Oryctolagus cuniculus: one gene and its partner. The protein of the gene in region 2 interacts with the protein of the main gene of each other region in a pairwise test. Links are inferred from orthologs where the notes say so. Each region holds a gene or a part of one and is shown on either strand. Other genes may lie near its edges.

What was found.
Region 1: the proteins of ARHGEF2 (region 2) and RPP25L interact in binary tests that used the Homo sapiens proteins (3 or more experiments, as listed by UniProt). The two-hybrid records come from large-scale screens. The link is inferred for Oryctolagus cuniculus from reciprocal best matches to the Homo sapiens genes ARHGEF2 and RPP25L.

What each region holds. Positions count from the first base shown.
Region 1 is NC_091432.1:197,632,843-197,636,550, forward strand, and holds RPP25L (ribonuclease P protein subunit p25-like protein), read right to left. Parts: upstream 2,324-3,708; 5' UTR 2,171-2,323; intron 1,495-2,170; 5' UTR 1,454-1,494; coding exon 962-1,453; 3' UTR 698-961; downstream 1-697. UniProt on the Homo sapiens protein: May be a component of ribonuclease P or MRP.
Region 2 is NC_091438.1:42,726,043-42,729,846, reverse strand, and holds part of ARHGEF2 (rho guanine nucleotide exchange factor 2), read right to left. Parts: intron 3,193-3,804; coding exon 3,125-3,192; intron 2,874-3,124; coding exon 2,810-2,873; intron 2,254-2,809; coding exon 2,124-2,253; intron 1,964-2,123; coding exon 1,854-1,963; intron 1,756-1,853; coding exon 1,609-1,755; intron 798-1,608; coding exon 547-797; intron 350-546; coding exon 224-349; intron 34-223; coding exon 1-33. UniProt on the Homo sapiens protein: Activates Rho-GTPases by promoting the exchange of GDP for GTP.

The DNA of each region.
Region 1 (3,708 bases), on a different chromosome or scaffold from region 2:
TCAAAACAAAACCTTAGAAACTTTTACTGAGGCCAGGGCTGTGGTGCAGCTGCAATGCTGGCATCCCATGTGAGTCCTGCTTCCTTATGGCCACTGGGGGAGTGAACCAACGGATGGAAGATCTCTATCACTCTGCCTTTCAAGTAAAAATTTAAACATTTTATTTGGAAAGCAGAGTGACAGAGAGGGAAAGACAGAAAGATTGTCCATCCACTGGTTCACTCCCCAAATACCCACAAGTCAGGGCAGGCCAGGCTGAAGCCAGGACCCAGAATGCCTTCCAGGTTTCCCACATGGGTGGCAGGCGTCCAAGCACTCAGACTATCATCTGCTGCCCCCCAGGCATGTTAGCAGGAAGCTGGATGGGAAGCAGAGTAGCCAGGACTTGCACCGGGAACTCTGCTAAGGAATGTATCCTAAGTGAGGTTTAACTTGCTATGCCAGAATGCCTGCCCTTGAGGTGTTTTTAAGACAGAAAAAGGCATCTCTATATACTGGGACATTAATAATAATACCAATTAATGTTCCTACAGTGCTGTGCGCCCAGGTGGCTTCCTGCCTGAGGCTTCTTACGGACACAGACCATCCCAGCACCAGCGTGGGCCTACTCTTCCTGTCTGCAGCCCGCGGGCTCTCAGCAGGAGGGGCAGAGAGTGCCGTTCTTAGTCCCACTTCCACACAGCAGCTGAGCAGAGGCTCATCAGACAAATGGGCAGAACCTTTATTTCCTGACGCCCTCCCTGGACCTCTGTCACAGACAGATTAGACACACTGTAGGTAGAAGGCAATCTAGACGTTGGCAGATGACAGTCCGCACCTGTCACTTCATTAGCAGTCCCTTCCCACATGCCAGAGGGAATGGGAAGCAGGAAGAGGCCCGCCTCTGTGAACCAGAGCCTTGCTGGGGACGCTGAGCAGTCACGGGGCATTCGGGCCTGGAGAACAGCCCTTCAGCAGATCTTCAGGACCGGTTGTCTCGAGCTCTTCTTCGGGGTCGGGGGCCACAGCTGGAGCTGGGTATGGGGCCCAGACCAGGAGGTGCCCCTGGAGGCTGATAGCCACACTCATTAGGGTCCAGGGGGTCCCGGCTGAGCAGTACCCACACTGCAGGCACATGGCGGCGCACTGTGAGGGGGTCTAGGCCGGTATCAGGTGAGGTTGGGACCCAGCTGTCCTCAGTCTGCAGGAATCGCAGCTTGGTGAGCTGGTGCAGGCCTGGGACCCGCCGCTTCACAATCTCCGCACAGCTGACAGCCTTCCCTGCGGCCCGGCCAGACCCTGAGAAGACCACGTGCCTTGCGCTGCCGCCCTCTAAGCGGCCCAGCGCCAGCCCCAGCAGGTTGCGGATTTTGCTGCCATCTCGAACCCGCATCTCGAGGGTATCGGGAGGCAGTTGAGGAATCGGGGACGGTGCTGGGAGCTCCACAGAGCCGGCCTTACGGTAGTGCTCCATCTTGCATGCTGCGGTGTCTGCGGTTCGGTTCTCGCCGCCCACTGCAGGGAAGCATCAGATGAGTGCCTAGGCAGTGCGCCCCAGGCCGCCCTCCACCCCCTTCCCAGCCCGGCGCTGCTCCTCATCCCAAACTTCCCAGGACCAGGGTCAGATCCCCGCCTCCCTGGCTTCTCACCACAGGGGCGTGCCGGCCCCGCCCCGTTTAGGGATGCACCCCATCAGCACCCGCCCCCCAATCCCGGAGTCCGTGAGACAAGGCCGCAAACACTGGGCTCTTTGGGACCCGGCCCCTCTAATCCTGGGCTCTGAGGGGTCCTTCACCACTCTCTCCCTCTCAAGAACACGACGGAACGCTCCTCCCCACAAGGACAGAGCCAAGGCCCCCTCACTCCATGTTCCCACAGGGCAGGGCCACGCCGCTTCGCCCCAGGCTCCTCCGGGCACGGCCGAGAACCTCAAGTGCTCCCCCTCCCCCAACGACGGGATCCGTAAGACAAGGCTGAGCATTCCTCCCCCGGGATTCCCAGGGTCGCTCGGTATCAACCAAGTCACTTAGAAACTCAGAGAGAGCACGACGCAGAAGGCTGCTTAGGCGACTCCCAGCCGGCCTCGGCCGTCTCCATCGCCACCGGCGGCTTCCATGGTCCCGCGAGCCGCTGCGGCGTCCCGTCTCCCCCACCATCCAGAGCCCCGCTCCCGCCAGGTGCCGGCTCTCACCGCCCCTACGGCCGCCGCCGCCGCGTCTCGCTGGATCGGGAGCCAAGATGGCGAGCGAGCCGGGAGCGCGCCGAGGCCGCGGGGCCGCGCACGCCGGGCGGGGGCGGGGCCTGAGGAGGGGCGTGCCCCGCGGGGTTTTTCGGGGCCGCCGTTGGTGGCTCTGCGGGGGCCGCTAAATGGGCTACAAAACGTCCTGGGGTGAGCTGGTCCAGGAGCTCGGGCGCCTGGGGACACGCCCCCACCCCTCAGCTGTTACGCCCGAGTCAAGGGCACTCCTAGTGGCGGGGAGAGAGCTCAGTGGGTGAGAGAAGCGGCCACAGCGCTGGGAGGCTGGCGTCACCAGTTGAGTATCCCGCAAAGGGGAAGCAGAAGGTTCAGCTAGGAGTGGCTTTAGAAATACCGCGTGCTGCTGTGCGGGTCAGAGCCTTGGTCACCCAGTTAGGAGCTGTAATCTCATCCTGTGGGCACCGGCGAACCACGAAGGGTTTTCAACAGGGGCCGGTCCAGCCGATTTTGTCCACACCTCGCTCAGGCCTCACTTCGCAGGGGAGGGAGTGGTGGGAGAAATCGAGCCGCAGACGCCGGCGAGCTCTGCTCTCGGTGCCTAGTGCAGTGCCCCGCGTTTAACAGGCGCTCGAGTATTCGTTACATTCTTTGTTGGATTAATGAACCAGAGAAAAGGGCAGTAGGGATAGAGAAAGGATTAAATTGGGAGCTACTATTAGATAGGTTCCGTGAAGACTGGATGAGAAGTAGGATGACTCCCAGGTTTCAGGCCAGTTTGAACTCGCTGACAGGGCACACACGTGCGGTGACAGAGGCGGGTGAAAGGGATCTGGAGCCAGAGCACTCCGTGAGACCACGAGGGGGCAGCAAACACTTGGTGGCGCGCCGTGCCAATCAGTTTCTCCTGCCCTCTCCCCAGAACCGAAAACTTCCCGCATCCAAACCTCTTGGGCTCCCTTTATCAGCTAATGACACGAGGTAGGCTCCCAAGAAAAATGTCAAGGCTTCTCTCTGCCTTTCCGCCCACTGCCCCCTTGGCTCTGAAATCCCTGCACGTCACCCAGCAGGGCCGCCTCCACTTCACTCCGTTTCTCTTCTGTGCCTACCAGGTGAGACTTCCCTTTACCTTGACACCCACCCCCTCCTGCCCGCACAGCCCGTCAGGGATTAGGTGGGCCCTACCTGTGTGCCCCCCCCTTCGCTGTGGCATCTGACATTTAGAACGTGCTGAGTGAACATGGGATAAATGGACGCTAAACAGATGTCTCATTCGCATCAGTCAAGTGCGGGCCTTCATCTGGGGAGCTCTACTCCTTCCACAAAGCCAGACCAGGATATGTACAGTCCCCAGGCCACCCACTCTGCAGGCCGCCAGCTCTGCCCTCTGCCACCCCCATCCTCACCACCAAGCCCGTCCTGGCCTGGGAAGCACACACTCCTCCTCCGACCTTTATTGTTACACTGTACAGAAAACTGATGGTGGGAAGGTAAATCACAAATCTCAGGTAACCTGACCTCTAAGTGCAGACAAA
Region 2 (3,804 bases):
ATGCCGCTTTAGCACCGCAGAGCGGGTCACTTTCTGCAAGGAAGAGGCGGGGTTCAGGGCCATGGGGGCCAACCAGAGGAGTCCGCCGTGCCTGGGCACCCACAGGGCCCTGCCCTGTCACAGAGGGCTGCCTCAATGCCGAAGCCGACGGCGCCTGCGAGTGGACGGGCACACACGGGCTCGGACCCCGACTGCCCCCCCACACCTGGAGGGCTTCGCTCACCCGGATGAACTGCTGGAAGCGTTTGTCCCGGGCATACAGCTCCTTATAGAGCTTCAAGGCCTTGGTGTGGCGGCTGCAGAACTCCGAGTAGGTCTTCCGCATCTGCTCCGCGCTGGGGCCGGAGAACTGGACATCGGGGACAGACTGTGTCAGCACCCCCCACTCCCCCATGTCACACCCTCTCCCTTGGACCCACCTCCGGCCTCCTGCCACACGGGCCAGCTTCCCGCCTCGCCAGCTCGCCCCCGGACACCACGACCCCTTTCCCCAGCCCGTCCAGTTTGTCCACCCTGGCTACCCGTCCTTCCAGGAACTCGTCCCACCTGGTTGATGAGCAGGTCACCCAGGCGGTGGATGACGAAGTTGCGGGTGCTTCCAGGGCACAGGGCCTGGCGGCGGCGCTCCAGCAGCTGGCTGAGGAAGCGCGTGTGGATGTCGCTCAGCTCGTCCACGCAGGGGAACAGGCCCTGGACCACTCCGGGCTCCAGCTGCAGCTCTTCCAGCATCCCCGTGCGGAAGAGGCGGGTCATGATCTTCAGCGTCCTCACGTGGTGCAGCTCTGTCTGGATTAGCTCTGTGGGCACAACGGGACATCTGGCCTCCTCCGCCTGGCATGGCCACTGTGGGTGGGGTGCTGCAGGCTAATAGGGACCTCAGGGCACCCACAGGTCTTCAAGGCCCAGACCAGCTTAACATTCTGCATTACTAGGATCTTAGGTCATTCTCTAATAATCTTTTATCTGTAGTTATGCTTTGGCATTGCAAGCTGTAAGTTGTTTCAGAGCAAGGACCACGTTGTCTTCCACACGTCCGGCTTTCCCTAGCTCCGGGATAAGCACAGAACAAAGACTGCGGGCTGGCACTGTGGTGTTAACAGGTAATGGGTTAGGCTCCCATCTGCGATGCCGGCATCCCATATGGATGCCAGTTTAAGTCCCAGATGCTCCACTTCTGAACCAGGTCCCTGCTAATGTGCCTGGGAAAGCAGCAGAGGATGGCCCAAGTGCTTGGGCCCCAGCACCCACACTGAGAAAGCCAGAGGAAGCTGCTGGCTCCTGGCTTTGACCTGGCCCAGCCCTGGCCATCGTGGCCATTTGGGGAGTGAACCAGCAGGCAGAAGATTTCCCCCTTGCTATCTCTCCTCTTTGTAACTCTGCCTTTCAAATAAATAAAATAAATATTAAAAGACTGAGGAAGGAATTGGAGAAAGGACAAAGACAGGGCCTCGGAGACCGACAGCAACAGTGGTTGCACTGGGCTGCCAGGCAGCAGCACGGCGACCCGCAGGGAAAGAGGGGAAGGGCCTCGACAGGTGGTGGTGGGCAGAGAGGATGTGACGGGCAGGACCTGGTGAAGGCAGGGATGCGAGGGCGGACTTGGCTCACCATAGATGACATCCTGCTGCTTCATCACCTCCTTTTTGTGCTGCTGCAGGAAGCTGCCGTCCACGGCCAGGCTCCAGGAATCAGCTGCGAAGTCCTTCTCGTCCATCTCAAAGTCACTCATCAGCTCATTGTAGATCACCTCTGCACCTGGGCACGAGCCGGGGCAGCAACTCAGAGCCGAGTCCTCCTCCCGGGACCCCCTGCCAGGCTGCTTCCCAGCTGCCGCTCCTCGCCAACCCACCCACCTTCGTCAATGAGGGATTCCACCGACAGCGTCCGGTTCCGCACGTTGAGGGAGTCCGTGGACTGCGAGAGGATGCGGCGCAGCCCCAGGGGAGACTCATCGTTGAAATGGCTGAAGGAATTGGGGCTGTTGGCATCCCCCAGCACAGCCAGGATCCCAGAGGCAGCCTCCCCCCACCCCATGTCAAAGGACCGTTCCGCGCCCCCCACCTCAGGCTCCACTGCCGCGCTCTTGGCCCGCCTGGCTGCCCCGTTCCCAAGCAGGGGCTCACCCAGCAATATTGGTGGTGGACACGCTCTTGGCTAAGGACAGGGAGGTGCGGCCGCGGCGGGAGCCAAGGAGGGACTGCCGGAAGCTGTCCGAGGGGTAGATGGCAGAGCTGGGCCGCTCTCGGATGGTGGCTGGGGGTGCAGAGACCAAGAGGGCAAATGTTAACACTGGTGCCTTCGCAGGACACAGGCCTCCCAGCTTCCTCGGCTCTTGTCCAGGGGACGTGGTGGCAGCGGTGAGGACAAAGCCACCTTACTTCAATGCTCCCCAAGAACCTTGTCTTGTCTCTTTCTGGGAGCAAGCCCATGAGCAAAGTGAAGCTCAACAAGGGGCGGGGATTCGGCCAGTGGATGAGCAGGGTCTGGGGCTCGGCTCTTTTTGCCCTAGCACCTGGCTCCCCTGGAACAATGCTGTCTGAATCGAGCCATGACAGGTCGCCAATGCTGAGCACATCAGCAACAGCACAGGGGTGCGGCCGGGCTCAGGGGACTGGCCATCCCAAGCCTCAACCCCATTTGGGTCCTCCTGTCCAGGCTCTGAGCCAGAGGGTCTGGACTATCCCGTGTCCCTGCTCCCAGCTCCCCAAGGAGGAGAGCGGTGTTGTGCCTGTGAGTGACCTCAGGGGGGCAGCAGAGCCCACGGGCCGAGCAGCCTGGGGTCCGGGGTCTTCCTGGGGCCACTACTCACTCTTACTGCGGAGAGACACAGACTGCAAGGCAGTGTTGTTCTTCAGCAGGGCAGCTTTCTGTTGCTGCAAGACAGAGACACCAAGAACAGCCATCACCCACGGGTCGCCCCCACAGGCACGGGGAGGCACTGGCGCTGTGGCCCAGGGCTGCGGGGCTGCATTTGCAGCAGGTGCAGCAGGAGGCCTGGGGCTGAGGGTCTGGGCTGCCCATGGTGAGGACAGGGCTTGAGGCACACAGGGTAGGGATGAATGGAAGAGGGTACCGCACGCTCACTACCCTCTCCCCCAGCCCGCTGCCCTCCCCACCCTCTCACCTTCTGCTTGACCTTGGTACAGTTGGCGAGGGTGTCTTTACAGCGGTTGTGGATAGTCACATTGCAGGCTGGGAGGGTGGGTAGAGAGGGTGAAGGGAGGGTCGGGTGGTACAGGAGGGGACTCACCCCCACCCCAGCCCCTCTCCTCCCACCTCCCTCTTCCTGCCAGCAGGAAATGAAGTGAGAAGGGGTATGGATGTTTAGGGAAATTAAGCCAGCAGGAGGGGTGGTGTGAGGGGGGTCTAGAGAGAAGAGGTGCAAAGGTGGCTGGGACTGGTGGAGGGAAGAAAGGCCCCCCAAGGAACAGAAGACAGGGCAGCTGGGCCAGGGGCCAGGAGACCAGAGTGGGAAACACACATTCTCCCAGTACTGAGTGTTCCACCTGTGCCTAATCCTTTGGGAGAAATTCAATTATGCTCCTCTTCCAGTCACCTGCCAGCAGCAGCACTGGATTCGAACCAGACTCCCAAGGCCACACTCCTGCTGCCTCCCCACTCCCAGCATGCCTTGGACTCTGGGCCCAGGCACTTCTAAGGCTTGGGGGTCCAGCAGCAGAGTGGGGGCAGCCTGTGCCCTGCGCTGCCTTCTGCACCAACTCATCTGCCTTCTCTCTCCAGGCCCAGGGAGTCCTGTTCCCCCCAGCTAAGGCAAGCCCACAGCTCCCACATTCCATCTGCTTC